2 linked regions of the Macaca fascicularis genome follow. The protein of the gene in region 2 interacts with the protein of the main gene of each other region in a biochemical or structural test. Links are inferred from orthologs where the notes say so. Each region holds a gene or a part of one and is shown on either strand. Other genes may lie near its edges.

Evidence for each region.
Region 1: of the proteins of LRRK2 (region 2) and ARHGEF7, one has a biochemical effect on the other in vitro, tested with the Homo sapiens proteins (2 studies listed by BioGRID and IntAct). The link is inferred for Macaca fascicularis from reciprocal best matches to the Homo sapiens genes LRRK2 and ARHGEF7.

The regions. Positions count from the first base shown.
Region 1 is NC_088391.1:101,803,425-101,807,076, forward strand, and holds part of ARHGEF7 (rho guanine nucleotide exchange factor 7), read left to right. Parts: intron 1-21; coding exon 22-161; intron 162-2,581; coding exon 2,582-2,806; intron 2,807-3,435; exon of another isoform or gene 3,436-3,558; intron 3,559-3,652. UniProt on the Homo sapiens protein: Acts as a RAC1 guanine nucleotide exchange factor (GEF) and can induce membrane ruffling. Functions in cell migration, attachment and cell spreading. Promotes targeting of RAC1 to focal adhesions. May function as a positive regulator of apoptosis.
Region 2 is NC_088385.1:46,779,660-46,783,311, reverse strand, and holds part of LRRK2 (leucine-rich repeat serine/threonine-protein kinase 2), read right to left. Parts: intron 2,955-3,652; coding exon 2,704-2,954; intron 2,181-2,703; coding exon 2,032-2,180; intron 1-2,031. UniProt on the Homo sapiens protein: Serine/threonine-protein kinase which phosphorylates a broad range of proteins involved in multiple processes such as neuronal plasticity, innate immunity, autophagy, and vesicle trafficking.

The sequences.
Region 1 (3,652 bases), on a different chromosome or scaffold from region 2:
TTTTTTCCTTCTCTCCTCTAGGGAGCATGATCGAGCGGATATTAGTGTCATGCAACAACCAGCAGGATCTGCAGGAATGGGTGGACCACCTACAGAAGCAAACGAAGGTCACATCTGTGGGAAACCCCACCATAAAGCCTCATTCGGTGCCGTCTCATACCGTAAGGACCTGGCGCTTCTTCTCCTTCCAGACTCCAGGCGTGGCATCCCGTGGCTGAGCTGTCAGCAAGTGATCACGTGCTTTAAAACCTGATCAATATTGGGATAAAAATGCAAACGCTTGCTTGATATTTCTCTGAAAATATTTGGCCCTCTTTGTGCAGTAGTGAATTGTTTTCCAATGAGTGTTCTCGAGAAACAACCCTGAATTGTGCCTCCTCACGCACAATTCAGAGGTGCTTGGGTGGGAAGCTGCTTTTGCTCAGCGTGGCCTTAGAAGACTAATTTAGGGGAGTTTTACACTAAACTATAGATGATTTTTCTGAGAATTTTAACTGTTTATTATGCTTCATTTAAGAAAACGAAAATAAATGATTATGATGATGAAAAGGGCCAGATTCATGTTGAAGGCATTAAAATAGAGTTTATGACACACTGTTGATTTTAAGAAATTGAGGTGTCTTTTACTTAGAAAAGCTCAGCAACTCTTTGAATTTTTAGAGAATTACAACTTTTCAAAATAGATGAACACTGAATTCGGTTGCAGTGTTTAAACCTCTCCTGGTGTTTTTTGCTCAAGAAGTTGGTATCGGGTTGTTTTAACAGTCGTCATCTTTATCAAGTAATACCGAAAAACTGGGCAGAGCTTTTAAAGAATGAGTGGCGATGACACGGCATTTTCAGCTTGCAGATTCCCTCACATCCTTACTAGGTTATTAGGATCAGTTCTGTCGTGTGCTCAGTTTTCATGTTTTCTTCTTCATGGGAAGGTTGTAGATCAAGAAGGATTGCTGTATTCTGATATTCTCATCAGTTTCAGAGTCCATCTGATTTCTCTCAGCAGTGTGCAGATAACTACTCATTGGCTTTTAGCTAGCATTTCATCTTTAATGGCTCTGCCGTTTTAAAATTCTCCATTCTTTCGTGGAGATCAGTTTATCCCAGCGACATGTGTACACGTGTGTTTATAAAGAACAGTGGATGAGCTGCTTCACTCAGATTTTCAACAGCAGCCTGAAACTCTACTTCATACAATTTTACATCAAGTCAGCTTTTCTCTGCGGCCAGACCCTCCGTCTTAGTGTTTCTTTCACTGGTGGCGGGGAAGGCACTGTGCCTCATGTTTAAAATGTTCTGCGTTCTCCTACAGAGTTTCTTTTGTGGGATGATGTATTCTCCTGTGATCTAACTCTGTCCAACTGAAGTCATATTCTAATTTTAGCATAAAGCATACTTCCTTTGACTTTCTCAAGAAAGGAGAAACAAAACCAGACACTACTTAACTCTGACGTTGTTGCTAGGAGGGATGTCTTACATAATTTTCTCCATCTATACATTATTTCCTATGAAAAGATGACGTTACGGTGGCTTCATAGCATGACCTGTATCTCACACGATTCCCTCCCCCATGCAGGGACTAGAATGTGATCATTGCAGAAAGTTGATGGCGTCTGTTCTTGAAATTGTGGCATTAGCTGCTGTGGGGCCTTCCCTCTCAGCCTGTTTTGAAGGTCGTGTACTTCAGAATGCCGACCCCACTCAGGTTTCCAGTTCACAGCGCCACACAGCTTGTTCTCCCATTAAACGCGCCTTACTATTGTTGGCTAATTTGAAGTCATTGTTGGCTGATTTTGAGACTTACTTAACTTTTCTCATTTAACTGTCATTGTGATGGGATATTTCGGGTTTCCCAGGAATATAAAATTCATTAATGACATACCTCCTCTAAGAAGTTAATTTTCAATTAACTTTGTTTTGATTAAAGTTGAGTTTTCTAAGAAAATAACTGATTTTATACCAGGGTTTGGCAGTGTTCTAGAAAGAGCCAGATGGTAAACATTCTCTGCTTTACAGGCTCAGGCCTCTTGCAGCTGTACTCTGCCCTTGTAACACAGCAGCAGCTTTAGACAGGCACGGGCCTGCTTGTGTGCCAGGAAAACTTTTTTAAAAAACAAAACTAGGCGATTGGGCCTTAGTTTCACCCAGTACTTCATCACCAGGTGAAGAATAATACGTGACCGGGGGGAATCACCTTCCTTCTTACAGCCACATGCCCTGTGTGCTTTTGTGAAATTCTCATCTTTTTACTAGATAAAGTACCTTTTTTTCTGTTAATGTTACTCCGTAGCTAATAAATGTGGCTAGTGGATGTCCGAGTGCTGGGGCGCCAGCTAGAGCTGCCCCTCCCGTCTGGGGCAGACACCGTGGGGGGGTCCCATGCTCAGCCCAGGTGGCGCGAGCTGGTGCTTGGCCCCAAAAACTACTGAGAGCCAGAGATTCGAACGAAATGATAAATGATAAATCCTGGGGTTTATTTCACATGGAGTGTTTAAAGAGCGGAAGGAAGTGCGTGATAGTGCCCTTTCACGGTGAGCATGCAAGTCTCACGTTCTCTGCCCTTCCCGCTCTGTGCCCTCGGCAGCTGCCCTCCCACCCGGTCACTCCGTCCAGCAAGCACGCAGACAGCAAGCCCGCGCCGCTGACGCCCGCCTACCACACGCTCCCCCACCCCTCCCACCACGGCACCCCGCACACCACCATCAACTGGGGACCCCTGGAGCCTCCGAAAACACCCAAGCCCTGGAGCCTGAGCTGCCTGCGGCCCGCGCCTCCCCTCCGGCCCTCCGCTGCCCTCTGCTACAAGGAGGTGAGGTCCCTTGACCACTCAAACAGCCAGACGCCGGTGAGCATGCCTTGGGCCCCGAGTGTGCCGGGCTGGTCCCTCTGTACGCAGCAAAATGCACCCTAACTGCTAGAGAACTGAGAAGGGGTCTGCCTTGGTTCTTCGGTTATCTCCGCTGCTGCTGAGAGGCCTGTGGTAACCCTGTGTGGGAAGGGGATGTGCAGATGTGCAGGGCCCCTCCTGTCTGTGCCATGCAGAGGGGGCCTTTACTGTGCTTGCCGGAGGAATGTGCCGCCGGGGGCCAGGAGCTGGAAAGGCGCCGAGCCCAGGTGACTTTCCCTCCCCGTGTGTGAGGCCGTCGCTCGGCGTCTGCATGCTGTCTGCTGCGTCTAACAACCCCTCCTCTAGGTCGGGGATCCTATCCAGGAGCCCTGCGTTTTGTCATCCAGAAGCCATTTGAAAGGAAGAGAACGTTTACCAATACAAATGAAAAAACACTTAGGCAGTTTCCCCCTTTGATGCATAAGAAATCATGATACAGTCTTTGCTTGTCTGTGTTTTGATCCAGCATTTTTGTATTTGCTAGGTGCAAATAAAGTACGATTCTAATGAATAAATATAAGTATTAACACTTTCTTATACTTTCCCCTAAGCCAGCTTGGATGAGGAAAGGAAGCGTCTTGAGAAATGTGTTCTGAGAAATATTTTCACCTGAGGAAGCCGATAATTGAGATGAGCGTTGTTTTCATAAGCAGTTGAGCGTGCATGGTGGTGAGGTACGAGGAGTGGCGGTGCGAGTATGGGTGGCTGCGTGCAGATACGAGGAGCGGTGCCCGCTGGTGGGGTGTGAGTGGGCGTGAGGACGGTGAT
Region 2 (3,652 bases):
GCTTACTAAAAAAAACTAAAAATTTTTGTGTTTTTAGTAGAGACAAGGTTTCACCATTTACATGGGATTATTTTTTAATGGTTAGTGGTCTTGCTCAGATGTCACCTCCGTGGGGCATCTTCTCAAATGTAAGACCACTTTTCAAACTATTAAGCTTGTGTAGTGCAAAGCAAACAGATTTTGAACTGGGGCCCATTCAAACTTTCACAAGATAATTAATTACATGCACCTGTAAACATCACACAAAAAAATCTCGCTGCTTCAATTTCCTCAACTGGGCAGAGGTCATACCTGTCCTAGGTACGACGACCATTAGGATCATTGTGAGATTCAGCTGAGATGACACACTGACCATACACAAGCTTCAGGGTCATTTTGGATGCTCCTCTTTCCAGACCCAACTTAAATGTCACAGGAACAGAAAGGCTTCCCTGACTCCACAGTCTGAATCAGATTCCCCTGAGGTACCACAGAGCATCCTGAAACTTTTCCACAGAAGGTACCACAATATAAAATTACATTTATTTGTGCCATCATTACTTAATGTTTGTCTGTCCTCTGAACTTAATCACAAGTTCCTTAAGGACAGAGACCAAGTTTGCTTTGCTTACTAGTGAGTGAGTGAATCACTCTATCTCCAGTTTCAGGATCATAGTTAGAATGTGGCCAATATTCATGAGAGTAGGAGGAAGGGAGGGAGGGATAAATGAGGAAAATACTATCCAAATTAAGATGGCTTTGATCATTATTAGTTTCTGAAAGCTCTGACAAATTAAAATACCATTAATAAGCAGTCAAGCCATATTCTGCTATTAAATAGAATTAAAAATTATTTTACTGAGTCAGGTATAGAATAATCACATGGGTGGCAAGAAGTGAGTATTCTCTATGAAGGAAGATAAAATATGGGGAATTCCTGTTTATTATCATAAAAGTATTTTGTTCCTTAATATTAAAATGTTCATTTAGGATACAAATGAACATAATTTCCTCTATTATTTCATAAGCTAAGAGAATGCAGGGGATTCTACAACTTTTAATAAAAGTGATGATAATAATTTGCATTATTGTAATGTCTTGCAAAGCACAAGGGCTGATTGAATATATATTAACTTCACTAAATTGAAAACTATTAAATGATTAATTTTGTTTCTAACAACAGCAATAAGAGTAATCATATTTATCATACAAAAAATTGCTGAAGAAACTTCAGTATGAAAAACAGTATTTCAGTATAAGGATGCCTTACCCAGCTCAGGCAGTCATGTTTAGTTGAAGACTAAAAGGAACCACAGTGCACTACACAGTAGGCCAAGTAACTATCATTTTAACCTCTGACAATAAAAATGTGATAACTTTGTTTAAATTATAGACTATTTTTAGAGCAGCTTTAGATACACAGAAAAATTGAGCAGACAGTCCAAAGACTTTCAATATATCCCTTCTCTCACCACCACTACCCCACATATATTTTCCCCTGTTATTAACAATTTGCATTAGTTTGGCACAGTTGTTCCAATCGATGAGCCAATATTTGACACTTCATTATCACTCAAAGTCCATAGTTTACATCAGGGTTCATTCTTTGTACTGTACATTCTATGGGTTTTGACAAGTGTACAATGGCACGTATCCCCCACTGTAGTATACAAAACAGTTTCACTGCCCTAAAAATCCTCTGTGCTTTACCTATTCATCTCTCCCTCCCCTAACCCCTGACAACCATTGATCTTTTTAATGTCCTCATAATTGTGTCTCTTCCAGAATGTCTTATAGTTGGGAACGAATAGTATGTAGCCTTTTCAGATTGCCTTCTTTCACTTAGCAATATGCATTTACATTTCTTTCATTTATTTTCATAGTTTGATAGCATTTTCTTTTATTGCCAACCTGCTAACTTTATTTTTTAAATCCAGCATAATATTTAAACTGAAATGCCACCTTTCAATCCCCACCTAAAGGGTCCATATGTGACTCATCTTGTACAACTTAGAGGGCCTGGTAAGGAGGAGACCCACACAGAACACTTACCAAGAAAATTCATTCTGGCACTGAAACTCTCCACTTTAGGACAAGCCTCAAGAAAGTTCTCTGATAGGGATGAAATGTGGTTTTTACTAAGGTTTAAAATCTTCAGTTCCTTCAGTCTCAAGGGGGAGCATATCCCTGATATTTTATTTCTAGTCACAAGAGACAAGATAATGATTAAACTGCGTAAATTCATTCATATGCTTTAAAGAAAAAATACCAAGAACAATTTGCTTTCGAAGAATAGCATCGAAGAGGACTCATTAATTTAAAAATTAGTTGTGAAAATGTAAGTCATTGATAAAAGTTGTAATATTCATTGTCTCAGTTTTTTATTATATATAATAATACTTATACATTATAATAAATATATATTATATATATATATTTTTTTTTTGAGACAGAGTCTCGCCTCTGTCACCCAGGCTGGAGTGCAATGGCGCGATCTCGGCTCACTGCGACCTCCGCCTCTTGGGTTCAAGCGATTCTCATGCCTCAGCCTCTGAGTAGGTGGGATTACAGGCGCGCACCACCAACCCCGGATAATTTTTGTATTTTTAGTAGAGATGGAGTTTCACCATGTTGTCAAAACTCATGACTACACAAATGTCAGCGTATTTTGTTAACATCAGCATATTTAGGCAGTCCTTTTACTTTTAATGAGCTCTTTCTTACCCTTCTAAAATGAGCTGCTCCAGTTTCTCTATCACATCAGCAAGGTTCTCAGGAACAGAAGACAGCTGGTTATATGACAGGTTAAACTGTTTCAGAGTTGGACATTTCACTGCAGGATCTAAAACCACTGAGGGTCCAATGTCATTTCGAGAGACATCAAGGTTAGCAACACAACTCATTTTCAACAAGTAAGAAGGAAATGATGTAAATTTATTACTGTGCAAGTCCAAATGCGTCAAACTCTTCAGAGTCTGAAAAGACAAGAGTTTAAAATTCTAAAGTGGACCATCTGAGGAACTTAAGTCTAGCTAATATTTCTGCCTTACACACCTCTGGTAACTAGAACCATCAAGAATTTTCAAAAAGTTGAAAACACAATCCACAACAGAATTTCAGTATACTGATTAGCCCAATCACCTCTGCTTATAGCATGGGTAAAACCAGCAAAATTACAACGGTAGACTGTAAAAAGCAGGTTCATGAAAATAGAGTTGAAAGCTTCCTTCAGCTTTTTTGTAAATTATTTCCAGAAAGAGCAAAATGGAAGCAGAATAGGCCTCAACAAATATTTGAATTAATGATTTAAGAAAAAGCACAACATAATCCTGGGAATATGTTTTAAATGCTGTCAGAAATTGTTACATATTTTGATATATATAAGATTTAACCATAAAAATAGTTACATACAATATGTGTTTCATTTTAGAACCTCCTCTTTTTTATGAAACTTTTTGTTTCAAATTTCTACTTTCCATTTTTAAGCAGTTTATAATTTTACAATGATAACAGCAAACCCCTACTTACATATTACATCGACTTTTTACAACTTTGTTATGTAATACTCTTAAAGAGCTCAACTGCCAAAAACAATCACTTCTCTATGTTCTTCTTTATATATCAGTATATTTATCCACACAAGAAATTCTAGACTTTGATATGATTATAGAGG